Linked DNA regions of Tamandua tetradactyla. The protein of the gene in region 2 purifies or fractionates together with the protein of the main gene of each other region. This does not show direct contact. Links are inferred from orthologs where the notes say so. Each region holds a gene or a part of one and is shown on either strand. Other genes may lie near its edges.

Region 1 (7,918 bases), on a different chromosome or scaffold from region 2:
GCAAAAGACATTTTGAATACCATGATCGATGATGTCCCATGCTTCAAGGAAAAACCAAACCCTTTCCGCCTCGCTTGCAAAATTCATTCCCCACGCTGACCCTTCCCAGAGCTGTTCTGTGTCAGCCTGGCCCCCTTCCTTTCTCTGGGCCCAGAGAACTCTTCCACAAACCAGATGAGATCCACTTGGGAAAAGAGCCATAGTCAGCTGGGAGGGCCTGGGTCTGGATGGCTGTTGGAGAAACTTGAGAGCTTGGGTCCAGAGTCAGCCCAGCCCACCGAGCTAACCCTGCCTGTGAGAAGAAGGCTTTCAAGTAGGACTGTCTTGGGCAGAAAGCATCATCGGAACAGCGTGGAGAAATATCTCTAAATGTTTCCGGCAGAGGAAACCGCACCTCCAGCCCTCGGATATGCCACTGGACTCAGCTGCACCCTCCTGCAGAGGAAGGAAAGACCTGCACATGTGAAACATGGGACAGCCGTGGAACATGGTGTTTTTTGGAGTTTCCTTTCTCACGTTTTCCATCCTCCCCTTCTTTGTACCATTCACATGTCCATAACCTCATCCCGTGACACCAGGGTTGTTCCACTTGCAGGGCAAACAGGAGGGGCCTCTCCAAGGGGAGCCTGGCTTGGGAATAGGGAGTGACAGAAGCCACCTCAGAAAGGACAGCATTCATGTTGGTCTTTTTCTGTCGGGAATGATAGCCCCTCAGTGCACACCCCCTCACTCTCACACTTGCATACATCCCCACACACAGTGGAAATGATTGGTTTGTCAAAACTCACTGTAGTCCGTAAAGCTTGCACTCTGCGTCCTATATCTAGCAGCATGGGGTACGTTTGGCAGTTCACCCCATTAGGGGGTAAATAATTTATGACCATTCATCTGTTTTTATGAATTTTTTTATCTAGACGATAATTGTAAATAAAAAAAACTCACCGTCTCTGTTCATTTAATACTATGCAATGGTTATGCTTTCAATTGCTGACTCCTTAATCCCTCAGTGTGGTTTTGAAATGTCTGGTTAAAAAAAAAAAAGCAAAAAACAACCTCAAACAACATAGTAAGTATATTATACTCTGTACTGTATACTTTTTCTCTATGGCTGGGGCTGCACCATCCACTTAGTTTCTCCTCTGTCCTGCAGACAGGAGCCCCCGGAGAAGATAACTGATTCAGTTCTGAAGTCTAAACTCACCAACTTGCCCCCCATGACAGATGAGGGAAGAGCAGGGAGCCCCATTCAGGGACTCCTAAGGCTATCGAGTCAGCCACCTTTGGAAGTGGGCAGGGAGGAGACTGTGGAATTTCTTTCCTGAAACTCAGGCAGAGCTTTCCCTAACTCAGGAGCAGCCCCGATTGCTCCTGTTAGCCTCTCACCACCACCCCTTGCCCCCCCGTCCCTTTGTCCCAACACGAGGGAGGGCGCCATGCTTCTGAGACCAGACTAATGACAGTGACAGTACTGGAGCAATGCCTCCATCCCTGTCTTATCCTGGGTGTCCCCGATATTGGATAATGCCCTCTTTTTCCCAGCCTTTTAGAAATGCCATGTCTTACAGGGACTTGGGACTGTTTCTGGAATTTCTCTCCTGTTCCCTTTTCTGGGTGTCTCATCTGGCACAAGCCACGCAGTTTTAATGATTGTAGCTTTATAACGTTTTGTTAACCGGTGGGGTGAGTCTGCTTCACTCTTCTCTTACAAAATTTCTTGGTTGTTCTCTTCCATCTGCTCCTTGAAGTCAACTTTAACATTTTGCCAATTCTACCCATCCCTGCCCTCCTCCTACCCCAAATTTTGGGTCCTGTCATTCAGTGTGCAAGCATTTTCCCTTCATTGCAATTACCAGCCACTCAAGGCCGCTAAAGAGAGTGTGCCAGTTGCCAGAAGCCTTGTGCCCCTCCCATCATTTCATCTGTCACCTGAGCTCAGGAGTTGTTAGGAAAGGCCACTGAGCTCCCACCTAATCTCAGCTTGGGAACCAGAGTCACCCCACCATTAGCCTTGCTGGAGGGGGTGCTCCTCCTGCCCCTAGCTCAGCTGAGAAAGTGGCGTCTCTCCCAGACCTGGAGCTACCAGAGCTTCCTAGGAGAGAGACCTTTGTTAGGAATATGTGGCCCAGTTGTCATGTACTTCTAATTTCTCATCGTGGAGAACTGTCTGTTCCCATCTCCCTTTCCTGAGCAGGTTCTGTCTATTTTGGGGTTTGTGTTTTGTTTGGGGGTTGAGAAGCTAAGAACCTCCTGCTCTTACCCAGAGTTTTCAGAGGTTGTGTGACAGGTCCTTTGGGATACAGCAATTTTTCATCTGGACCTTATCACCACTGTTATTCTCCCCACCACATTCTTGTTCTGCCTACAGAAGGCTGCCAACCTAGTGCCCTCTGACAAGCCACCCACAAAAATCTCTCTCCTGACGTAGTGTCTGAAGCCCTACCACTAGAGGGTCTTGGGAGTGGGGGCGGTGTGTGTAGTTCTAGAAAGCCTTTGGATCTTACAGAGCCAAATCCTAAATCAGATAACAGCAGGAAATCCCTGGGTCATTTCCAAGTTCCAAATCAAGCTCCCCAGATTTTGATGCAGAGATCTACCCATGCAAGTAGGGGAAAGGGGGTCTCAGGCTCTGGGCATCAGCCTACACCCCCTCCCCTTAAAACAAGATATTTGAGGCTGCTTTGGGACTGCCCTTCTCAGACCCCTACGTGTTTTGTAATGCCTGTGGTGCTCTCTCTCCCGGACCTTTTGGGGGTCACCACACTTTGCTAACTCTTGTGTGCACATATTTTATAACAGAGTAGCGAGAGAATGGTGCCGCCTCCAGCTTCCACAAGCTGCCTGGGCTCTGGGACAAATGGGACTGGGAAGTGACTGTGCTCTTATTGTACACTCTTTATTTCTCTGTATCTCTGGCTTGTGCTCTCTGTAATGAATGGGATTTGTCTGCCTTTTCAACACTATACTGAGCAATAACAATAAATGCACACGTGGAAACACAGACACGGTACACATCACAAGACCTTTTTCCACAGGACAACTGGGTCTCCACCTCACCCCTCGTGGATTTAAATTCCGGGGAAATTAAGTCCCTGGGAGGGAAGTCCCAAGGCTGTGTATCTCCTTCCACCAGGTCATACCTTCTGGAACAAGTGCATATTCATACCTGAAAATCCAGGAGAGAGACAAACTTAACCTGCCATCAGCTACTGACCCTCCATGAGGAATGGCCAATAGTCCCAGAGAATAAAATCTTAGAAGGGGCCTCAGGAGGAGGAGGAGAAGATGCAGGCAAAGGGACTCGGGGGAGAGGGGGTCACAAATTGGGGAGACCTAAGAGTGGCCTGATTTGGTTCTGGGGGCAGGAGATAATGGACACAGGATGTAAGAAGCATCCCTATTAGGAAGAGGGGAGCCTGGTACCCAAAGTGTCTGAACTTTGTAAACCTCTGCTTAGCATCAGAGCAAGACACCATCCCCAATGTTGAGTGAGGGATGGGAGATGCAGCCACACATGAACCCCAAATCCTAGCCTCTTCCCAGGCCCATCCACTTCCAATTTCACATCCATTTAATCTCATATCAACCTTCAGAGGGTGTATTATTACAGTTCCCACTTGGTACTACTAGCTGGTAGGCAATATAGTATTTAAACTAAGAGTTTCCTTCCTGACCCTGTACTCTAAACCAGTTTATTAACACTGTCTTTCAGGTCTGCAGCAATGCGTAAGATACAGTTTCATTCTCTGTCCCAAATTCTCAATTTCTTTTTCAAGGCCTATGCAAGGACATTCTTTTAATAACAACTATTCCACCATGCATTATATTTATATTATATCTGATATGCCATTATCCCCATTTTCCAGTTCAGGAAACGAGGCTCAGGGAGAAAACTGACTTAGCCTTATCACTGAGAGAAATCAGTGGTGCAGCTACAGACCGGAGGCCAAGGTCTATTCCTTTAAGAACAGGAAACCCAAGAGATCCCCACCTTTATTCTCTGCTCCATACTAGTCCCCACTCCCCCCACCCCCCGCCCCACTTCCCACACAGTCCTGCAATATTTTTCCATTAGAGGGATAAACAAGTCCTGAAATCCGTTGGAAGGAAGTACAAGTCCTGAGTTTCCTCAAGCGGTAATCATCCAGCTAGATTTCTTACCCTGTTTTCAAGAGAGGAAACTGTCATCTAAGGGGAATCTAGGTTCCACGCTGGGTCACTCTCCTCAGTGCCATGAGGGGCCAGACTCCTGGGCCATGTGTGGCAGAAAGGAGCCCCCATCTCTGTCCAGCGGTGCAGGGTTCTCACTGAGCTTACTGGGGTCCTCCCCTTGGACAACCAGGGACTTAAGGACTGGGGACTCTAGTGGTTGGGTCTGGGCTCCAGCTGTAGGAACCTGGCTAAGATCCCTCCTTGCCCGGTCGATTACCTGACGGGCCAGACTCACAGGATCCCGGACCGTGGGGAAGGGCATCGGCCCTATGACTAGGGGAAGGAGGGGTAACAAGCCTCACGGCGTCCCAGCCCTTGGATTCTGAGGAAGGTCTAACAACAAGAAAGTACTGGGTGCGTCCAGTTTACCCACCCATCCCCCAATATTTAATCATCCTACAATGTTTCGTCATAAGGACGGTCGCATCCCGAACCGGAGGGAGGCAGGGGAAGCTGCAGTTATGAATCCTTTCTTTCATTTACGGATCTCAGGAAAAGGGAAGGACTGGCCCGGAGGGAAGACGGTCTTGGTATCTGAGTTTCGGATTCCAAGTGACCCCTGGTCAGGGTCCGGGTGGAACCCGCAGCCTCATCTGGTCAGCCCGCGGGATCCTTAAAGGGGCGGGGCCACGGGAGGGCGCGGCGCGGCCTCTAGACTGCGCGGAACCTTTGCACGCCGGTGTGGGTTGCTACCGGAGACTCCGGCCGAGCGGCACCGGAAGTGAGCCGTTGGGAGGAACCGGGAGCTGCCACGTCCGAGGGCCGGAGCCGCCACTGACGCAGTCATGGTGAGTGTTGGGACCCGGGACACCCAGCGGAATTCGGGCCGGGGTCGCGTCTGCTGACCGGACAGAACTCGCCCTGTCGGATTCCACTGCCGCGTTGCGCTCAGCCCGAGAGAGGGGCCGTCTAGCTTCCTCCACTCTCCCGAGGTTTGGGGTCTTTGGCCCTGCCGCTCGGCTCCTTTCGGAGGGGAAGGCCGCGGAACCTCCCGGAACTCTGCGTGCCGCGCGGCCGCCGCGTCTCTCGTACCTTCCTTTAGTTCCCTTACCTCAACAAACAGAACCCAAAATAGCATTGTAGCTACCGTATCCGAGCCCGTAGTCAGTTCCCAGTGTTGTTCATAAGCTCAGTCTGTCAGTATACCTATGAGGTGGGTGGTATTATTATCAACATTGTACAGATGTGACAACTTAAGGTCCGGAGATGTGGAACGTCTTGCACAGCAGAAGAGTCGCAGAGCTAAGATTCAGTTCTGCCACCTACCACCTGTGCCAGCAGAGATGTTTGTCGAACTCTTACTCAGCGCAGGGCCCCACAGAAGGTACCCTAAGTATGATGATCCCCTCAGGAAACTGAATGTAAGGATGTGCTGAAGGACTTTCTGGAGGGCAGGAGCTGAGGTTTTTATCTCATTGGTATCCACGGTGTACGTGTACTCCAGACTTATTGGGTAGTTGACTGTCCGAACTGAGAAATAGTGGATGGAAGCCTCCATCTTCAGCCCGTGAGGGTTCATTTAAAAACGCTCACTCAGTCACAGACGTGTGGAAACCCCAAGTCAAGACATCGGGTTTAGTTCCTCCTCTTTTGGGTGAAGAGGCTTCAGGTGCTGAATAGGATCTTTTGTGCTCTGATACTCAGCTCATTTTAACTGAATTTTTAACTCATGGACTGACTCTGAGGAGCTGAATTGTTTTGAGTACTGCCTCCTAGAACTTTAAAAAGGAAAACACAGATAACTCCGTGTGCTCGGGAGGAAGTGCTTTAAGAGCTTACAACACACATATTCTTACACATTATATAGATATCCCTGTTTAGCTTATAGTGTCTTGGAGTGGCTAGAGGGAAGTACCTTAAACTGTTGAACTGTGTTCCAGTAGCCTTGATTCTCGAAGATGACAGTATAACTATATAGCTTTTACATTGTGACTGTGGGATTGTGGAAACCCTGTGTCTGATGCTCCTTTTATCCAGGGTATGGAAAGATGAGTTAAAAAAAAAAAGAAGAAGAAGAAGAAGAAACAGAATTAAAAATAAACAAATAATAAGGGGAGGTAAAGGGTAAGAATTGGGTACGTCGAAGTACTGTAGGTCAGTGAGAAGGAGGGATGAGGGGTATGGGATGTATGAGGGGTTTTGTTTGTTTGTTTGTTTGTTTTCTGTTTCTTTTTCTGGAGTGATGCAAGTGTTCTAAAAATGATCATGATGAAGAATACACAACTATGTGGTGGTGTTGTGAGCCATTGATTATATACTGTGGTTGGGCTGAATGTTTGTGGGTAGTTCTCAATAAAAATATTAAAAAAAAACAAAACACACACACATGTTGAGAATCATGGTTCACCAACTCTGGTGGGTGAGAGTGGTTAGAAATAAATGCTAGTTATCTTTAAGGTCCTTTGATGACCTGATATGAAACTACCTCCTAGTAAACTTTCTTCCTGACTCTCCTTAGCCTTCAGTCTTGGATTTAAGGAATACATTGTAACAGCTACTTTATGTTCTAGATAGACAGCCTTGTGGGCTGCAAGCTAGGAGAAAGGCTCCATTCCCAGGTCTGCCTTTCCTTAGTCACTGTGACCAGGTACTTTCTCTTCTCTGAGCTTCAGTTCCTGAGTCAGACATCCCTGATTAACTCTGCCCTTTGTACCTCCAAGCACACATGTGGAATCACTTTGTAACATGTAGTGCTCTACATACATAGGAGACTCTTCCCCTTATCTGTCTTCCTTACTTGCCCTTGCAGTTCTTGGGGATCCTCTCTTTACGGAGTTTAGAATTTCATGAAAGAAGCTGTCTTTACTTGTGTACATTTTGTCCACAAATGCAGCTATCCTCTTCCAGAAACCACCTTTCTGAAAAGCTAAGTCTAAACTTTATATCAGCAGGGCTTGTGTTTGAAAAGATGAAATAGAAGGTATGGTAAATATCAATTCCAGAATATAACTGTGCTTTCAGTCCCTTTTTTTGAAAAAAAATTTTTTAAATACCAAAAAACACCAAACGCAAACATTCTTAACTTTTGATCATTCCAGTCTATATATATAATCAGTAATTCACAATATCATCACATAGTTGCGTATTCATCATCATGATCATTTCTTGGAACATTTGCACGTATTCAGAAAAAGAAATAAAAAGAAAAAAAAATCATACAAACCATACCCCCATCCCTCCCCCTCACTGAACACCAGCATTTCAATCTAAATTTATTTTTACATTTGTTCCCCCTATTATTCATCTTTATTTCATGTTTTACTCATTTGTTGATAAGGCAGATAAAAGGATCATCAGACACAAGGTTTTCACAATCAGACAGTCACGTTGTGAAAGCTATATCATTATACAATCATCTTCAAGAAACATAGCTACTGGAACACAGCTCCACATTTTCAGGCAGTTCCCTCCAGCCTCTCTACTACATCTTGTCAGTTCCTTTTATATCCTAAGAATTTAAAGAGAGTAGTGGTTGAGCAAAGTAAAAATGTCAGTTTTTGTTCATTCATTTGTTCATTCAGCAAGTAGTCACTGTACTGCTAAGTACTGTGCCAGATGATTTGAAGGGATTAAAAATCTGCAGCTAACTCAAACCCTGGCTCCAGGGAGCTCACCTTCTCCTAGGAAGAAGATATAGCATAGAATGTTGTGGACATTCAGCACTGAAGATATTCAGAGGATATGTAGATATGCAGCCATTCCAGTTAGC
Region 2 (7,416 bases):
GTCATTTGACTTCCTTCCATATTCACACTTTTCAGATTAGCACCTTCTAAATTGGCTTTAAGACCAATTCAAAATTACAGTTTCAAGGATGCCCCTTCTGCATTAGAACATAGCATCTTGAGCCCCTGGAGATTTGCACAATCAAACACTGATCCAGAGAGATCAGCTCATTCAAGATCTGCACAGCAGAGATTAGCATGTGCAAGCCTGCAACGGCTTATACTGGCCATTTTGAAGTTAATGTATTGAAGGTACAAATGAGAAAGATCAGCACCACTGAAGTTCAAACCCTGCCAAAGCAACTCTGATTTAATTGGAGTGGCTAGTAGAAATTGGACAAATTCTTTTCTGGATATTGGTGAATGATCCTCTAGTGGTTAAGAATTCTTTATTGCCACTTCAAGATGTTCAATCAATGAGTCAATAACAAAAAATCTTACTTCTTCTAATACGCCTAGTAAATTAATGTCATCATTTACAATGAGCTGTCCATGACGCAAATAGTTCACAATGGGTTCAAAGTACTCAGGACTTCAGTCAATTAAGAAACTCCTCTACAATCTTGCTTATTTCCCCAGACACCTTTGTCTTTAAACACGTGGGCCAGCATACTATAGGTTCTTCATTTACCAAAGTGCTCTGTGTAGTTGTAAACTACCGCCCTCCATTAGCCAATCTGTGTGGGATCCTGTCAGTCCTTCAGGTGGTTTAGAATCTAAGGATCAATAAATTGTTCTCCTTCACATACAAACTAAACATCATCATCCCTGATCAAAGCAATATCATCAATCAGCCCACCTTTCTCATTATACATGCTGGTGGCTGATGCCAAGTTTATTACTGGCCACAGAAAGCAAATCAAATAAAGTTCCATACAAAGCAACCACTTCTCCATTCTTGGGGCTGCTGTTAAGGAACAGGGTTACCCGCCTCATCATGCTGCCCCCTCTGGGTCCAGAGTGAGCCGCCACCTTCGCACCTTTTTCTTCTCCTGCCCTTCTCCTCCCTCCACCCACTCCAACTCTCCTCCCTTGTCACCTGCAGCCTCTTACCATGAATAAACTTTCACTAGCAAGGACATCATTGTTGACCTTGTTTAGAACTTTAGCAGTGGGGTTGAATCAGACAGCATCAGGTTGTACTGTAAATGGAAGTGGAGACAAAAAGTCAAAAAAGAATGTTCTCTTTTCCTCTCTTTTTTTAAATGACTAAATTAAACATGGTGTAGATGAATAATTTCTGATATAAAAGATGTTCATATGTGGTGAAAAAGCAGATTATAAAACAGTGTTATAGTATAATCCCACTTGTTCTAATTATCTTTGGGGGGTGGGTAGGCACGGTCCAGGAAAGGAATCTAATTATGTTTTGCTGTATAACAAGCCACCCCCAAATTTACTGGCATAAAACAATAATATATTATTATTTCTCTTGGTTCTGGGGATAAATTGGATTCAGCTGGGCAATTCATGATGCGGGTTTCTCATGGACTATAGTCAGATATAGTGAATAGGCTTATGAAAATTCTTTAATTTGTCCCTTTGCTTATTGTCTAGTTTCTTATCGTTCCATAATAGACACACATATTGGATTTATAGTAAGAAAGCCAATAATAGCTATTTAAAATGTACCAAAACAGAAGTTTGGCTGAGAAGGGATGAAGAAAGAAAAGATGGCAGATAGAAAGAAAAGCAGGTAAAAGGATGTTTTCTTTTGAAAGTGGGGTGGAGAGGGGTGGTGGTGTCAGTCATATTTTGAGGCCAAGGTAAACTCCTCTTTCACGTCAGCTGATGTGATTGACACCTACGAAGTATTTCTGCACACACACACTCAATGCGTTCAAATGTGTTGACCATGAGGAAACAATCAGACAAATCCAAACTAAAAGACATACTGTAGTACTGATCTGGCCTCTTCAAAATAGTGACTTAAAAGGGGGAAAAACGTCTGGGGACTATTATAAATTAAAATAGAACAAAGAGACACATGACAACTAACTGTATGATCCTATATTGGACTGTGGTGATTTGAAGCTATATGTACTCCAGAAAGACATGTTCTTAAATTTAATTCAACTTATATAAACTCATTTTAACTAGGACCTTTTGATGAGGCTACTTCAGTTAAGGTGTGACTCACACTCATTTAGAATGGGTCTTAATCCTTTACTGGAATCCTTTATAAGAGATTACAATTCAGATAGAGAAAAAGAAAGCCACAGAAGCAAGAAAATGAAATCCAGAAGAGAAGGGAGAAACTAGAAGATGCCACCATATGCCGCCTGCCATATGACAGAGGAACAGGGCTCGCCAGCCAGTCTTTGGGAAGAAAGCATCACCATGATGATGCCTTGATTTGGACATTCTCATGGCCTCAAACTGTAAGTTAAAACGTTCCCATTCATTGTTTAAATCCAACTCGTTTCATAGTATCTGCTTTGAGCAGCATCGGAAATGAAAACATGGATCCAGGATTGTGGAGAGGACAGGTATAAAGAACATTATTAGGACAGTTAGGGAAATTTAAATATGGTAGTTACATCATTGTTTAATGTTCTGAGTGGGGAAATTTCATTGTGACTATGTAGGAGAATGTCTCCTTGTTTTTAGGAGATGTATGCTCAAGTATTTAGGGTGAAGTGTTAAAGATGACTGCAACTAACTCTCAAAAGGTTCAAGAAAAAAGAGAGAAAACGTGAGAAATGTACTGTAGGTTTGGAACTTTTCCACATAAAAAGTAGGGGAGGGGAAAAAAAAACAGATTCTTCTACAGGGTGTGTGTGTGAGTGTGTGTGTGCTCCAGATCAAAATGTTCTGTCTTGAGTGCTTGTGGGATGGCTGCTTCCTGGCCCCCTAGTTGCCTGGAGGTATGAGTTTTCAAAGTCCTTTCTCCAACTTTTTGATAAAAATCTATGAGCTTCTGCTATGCTTCCAGTAAATTCCCTTTTGTTTAAATTAGCCATAGTGAATTTTTATCATTGCAACCAAGAACTCGAACATAAAACCAGCATGTATACAATATACACCACACAAGGAGTTTATTCCACATAGTTTTAAGGCAACCAAATGAATAAACTTTTAAATGTTTGGGGGCATCAAGATGTTCTTGCCTACTAATGAAATGTGACAAAAGTGAATCCCTGTACACTTGTTAACAAATTTACTATACTTGAATATGAACTGAACAGGTCTATTACTTTGCCCAAAGCTGCTGCTGCTTTTTCTACTGTGCTTTAAGATCAATCACTTAATGTATACCTAAAATGGAAATCAGCAAGGGTCACTGAAATAAGCGACCCAAAACACAACAAAGCAAAGAATAACTTATATCAGTAAAACCCACTGGAATTCATTTGCGGAAGGGACACACGTAAAGGCGCCACTGGTTCACACTTCGAATAAATGTGCCTCCCCACTGACAAAAATAATTTAGAACCACAGTTCACTTTCCATAAGAGAACAAGTGCACTTTTGTACAGGAAAATTAGGAGGTGGGGAACATGAGCGAGTTCCAAGATGTGATTCATCACCCGGGTTACTGAAGGAGAAAATTAATATTTCGATGATCTACCATGTGCAGTGCACATTTGCGATCTCATTTTTAATCCTCACAACTTCGTGATAGAGGTGTTTTTATCTTCATCCTGCAGAGTCCTAAAGGAATCTGCGGGCAGAGACGATCAAACCTCGATCGGGGCACACCAAAATCACCTTTATTCAACACGCTGTGTTGCCTCAGGGTAGATAAGGTTATGACGAGGCCTTTCTGGGAACGAAGGTTCCCAGAATTTGAGCGGAATGTAAATGCCTAAAGCAAAACTTCAACTGATCTCTTTGGAGCCAAAATAGACACTACTTTTTGCCGAGGCGGCGCTTTGAAATAGAGAGCAACCCATCGCCTTTCACGCTGCTTTTCGACTTTTTAGAACAGCTGATCCTTTTCCTCTTAATGGGAAAAAAAAATCAAGTGAAGGACAAATAGCAATTACTGAGAACAGTTTCAAAATCTGTAGGGGGTTATATCACCAATTCAAACCAGGTGAGTGCAGTGATTGAGTCAGGGACCCTGTAGGTGTAGGCAGAGCCAGCACGTCAGGATTCCAAGTCCAGACATCTTCTAACCAAGAATACAAGAAAATTATTCACATTTTTCAATATTAGCAGTCTACGTCGCCAAGCTTCCAGTACCTTAGCTCAGCGCGGAGACAAACACCACTGAGGAAAAGCGAAGACATACGTCACGGCCAAACGGGTCACGGCCAAACAGGTCAAGACCCACCTCCTGCCCACCCCCCGCCCCCGGCCCAGACCCCGCCCCCAGCCCAACCGGGCCCTGCTGGGCGCGGTCACACACGGACATCCGTTCGCGCCTGCGCCGATCAGGCCGGCACCGGCGCCTACGGGAGGAAAGGGTTGCGCATGCGCCCGATAGTAAAGTCATGGGCTTTTTTGCGCTTTTTGTTTGTTTCCTTTCTTCTCCCCCATCTCTTTTCACTAACGGGAGTTCAGTCGGGAGTGCTTCCGGGTTGAAGGGTTTGCTTCCGGAACGCGGGAAGGCAGAAACGCGGTAGCTCATTTAGATCCGAATTGCAACCTAAGTTGGTTAAGAAGGCCATAGCCATGGACAGGTCAGTTCTGGTGGTGACAGCTTAACCCGGGAACTTGTCCCTATTGCCTGCTGGTGGAACGGAATAGGTGAAACCCGACTTACAGAGGAAGCCAAAGAGGTCTTGTGTGCTCTCTCTAGATTCCTTTCACTGGCTGGGAGCTGATGTAAGAAAGGCTGCTTGGCTGGGATGAGGGGTGGAGCATACAGATAATGATAATCGCCTGCGTTCCTACGGTGACTCTGTGATCTATCTATTCTGCGCTTCCACACATTTTTCGCTTCTAGGGTGGGCAGGCTAAGTGGTGGCTCTGGATTAGAGATGCTCAGTGACTGCTTGAGATCACAAAGCCAGTGACGGAACCGGAATCCAAATTCAGACTTTTGGTTCCTGGCAGTAGCCAACAATTGAGTGTCAACTGTGTGATTGCCACTGTGCTAAACATTTAAGCATATTATTAGCTAATTTAGTCTTTATAACAGCGGAGAGAATAGGCAGTCTCATCCTCTCTTCATAGATGAGAACATTGTGTGAAGTTAAAAGAGATAAACTTGAGTCAAAGTTAGGAAGTTAATGAGCAGAACTGAGTTCCCTTGATGAGTGAATAGGTGTTCATCGGGTAGACAAGGGGATAAATGTAGGTCTCTGTAAAAGGAGCAGCATGTATAAAGGTGTGAGGGTGTGAAAGTACATGCATTGTGTAGATAAATGGTCATATGTAGTATATATTTGTATGGCAGTGATGTTTATGACTGAATGTAAGGCCAAACCTGTAAGCTGGGATCAGGTTGTGAATACCAGGCAAAGGAATTTAGACTTGATTCTATAAGCTGGAGGGAGCTAAGTTTGTTAAGGTAGGTCAGACTTGAGGGTTTTAAGTGGAAGAAAAGCAAATTAGATTTGTGTTTTAGAACACAGATCTCTGAATCCATGCAGTTTAGTTTCTAGACCTTTGGATGAGAACAACAGGGGAACTCTGGAGCATTATAAGTACAACATTGGTAAGACAGGAGACAGGGTACCTTGGGGTTGTTTCTCCCAATTTATGGGCATTCGTTTTTATTTAACCTCCCATCTCACAAGCTCAAACATCTCTACTAACCGACTTTTCCATAGTACCCATGGAAGTATTTTGGAGACTACAGAAGATCCTTTAAGATGAGTTTCTCCATCCTGTAGGGGAAAGAACATTTTCCTTCATTAACACTTATAAAATCTTGACCTACCTTAACAAACTTAAGTGCTTTTCTACAGTTGTGATGTAAATGTTCATTCACATGAGCTTGATTGTACTACTTAGGAGTGACTTTGGAGAGATGTCATCCCCTGTGATCCGGGAGGCAGAAGTGACACGGACTGCACGGAAGCAGAGTGCTCAAAAAAGAGTTTTAAGTATCCTTTGCATTTTAGACATCATTATAAAAATTGCAAGATATTTGGAATTTCAGTTATGGAATTTTATTTTTATGAGCAGTATTAACACTAGTTATTAAATATTGTAGCATATAATGCTACATGATAATATAGTAAGTTTTATGTTTCCCTGAAAATGTGTTCCATTTTACTGCTGACTATCATATTGTGGTTAGGTTCTGCTGACATGGTTCCTTTTTTTATTTGAACTTAGACTAAGAACTCTTCATTCACTATATAGTAATTTAAGACTGACAACTTAGAGTTTCATTGACAGAGGAATTTGTTATGTATTGACTGCATAAAAAATAGTTGCTATGAACTGCACTGTTCTTGAAAAAAATGTATTCACATATTTTGTGTAATATAAATATGCTTAATCCTAACTTGATCTCTTTTCTGCATGGAAAATTTTCTTTAACTCTTCTAACAGTTCGAGCATCCCAAGATGAAAATTTAGCTAATACTACACCAAGAAACCAGGTTATCCCTCGAACTCCCAGCTCATTTCGACCGCATTGTAAGATTTTTTTTTTGCTTTTAAAACATCTAATAATAGCACTAATAATAGTGCTAACATTTGTTGTACATGTAATAAATATATTTGGTTGTAATATCAATAATTAATAATAATAATAGTAGTGATTACAGCTACTATTTATTGAATTCTTACCACATGCAAGTTATACTTTGTATAAACACATGGTAGCTGTGATGTAGATATTTTCAATATTTACATTTTTTCAAAATTAAAAGTGAGATTTAGAGATGTTAAATAACTTGGTTAAGTATGTAAGTAATGTAACCAAATTCAAAAGTGGTCTGCTTACTCCAAAACTCATGCTCTCTACACTATACTTCTTTCTTAGTAAGCTTTATAAAATTAGAATATTAAGAATTCATTAACTCATTATTGTTGTGTTTTTTTTTTATTCTTCAGTTATTTTATAATGAAAGCATCTCTATTTGTGGTAAAAACCAAACACTCAAAGTTAGCGGAGCAAAGTTAAATCTCCCAGTCAAGAAAATGTTAACATTTAAAGTATTTATTTGTTTAGACTTTAAAGAACTAAAAACAGAAAATTACTTATGCTGGATTGTTTGTTAGCTTGTTTTTCTTAATCTCTTATTTGTAGTTACTCCCCTGAACCGAAGCTTACTAAGGCAGCCAGATACTTCCGGCATTCTTGGAACAGGAGGAAGGTCGCCCAGGCTTACACAGTCTTCGGGGTTCTTGGGAAATCTGTCCATGGTATGTAGGAGAATGGGGCTGAAATCTTCCCCCTTTTTATGAAGGTATAAAATTCAACTGAAAAACCTTTTCTTTTAATAAGAATTGTCATCGTATTCATCATAAATCAAAATAACTCTGGGTTATATGGATTGAAATTATTTTT

The links. The genes of interacting proteins can lie anywhere in the genome.
Region 1: the proteins of NUP107 (region 2) and SEC13 purify together in Homo sapiens (affinity purification with mass spectrometry; 8 studies listed by BioGRID and IntAct, counting the BioPlex papers as one, with this or other methods). This does not show direct contact. The link is inferred for Tamandua tetradactyla from reciprocal best matches to the Homo sapiens genes NUP107 and SEC13.

The regions. Positions count from the first base shown.
Region 1 is NC_135335.1:38,755,897-38,763,814, forward strand, and holds the start of SEC13 (protein SEC13 homolog), read left to right. Parts: upstream 1-4,880; 5' UTR 4,881-4,994; coding exon 4,995-4,997; intron 4,998-7,918. UniProt on the Homo sapiens protein: Functions as a component of the nuclear pore complex (NPC) and the COPII coat. At the endoplasmic reticulum, SEC13 is involved in the biogenesis of COPII-coated vesicles.
Region 2 is NC_135333.1:136,834,495-136,841,910, forward strand, and holds the start of NUP107 (nuclear pore complex protein Nup107), read left to right. Parts: upstream 1-4,361; 5' UTR 4,362-4,619; coding exon 4,620-4,627; intron 4,628-5,906; coding exon 5,907-5,998; intron 5,999-6,452; coding exon 6,453-6,539; intron 6,540-7,155; coding exon 7,156-7,271; intron 7,272-7,416. UniProt on the Homo sapiens protein: Plays a role in the nuclear pore complex (NPC) assembly and/or maintenance. Required for the assembly of peripheral proteins into the NPC. May anchor NUP62 to the NPC. Involved in nephrogenesis.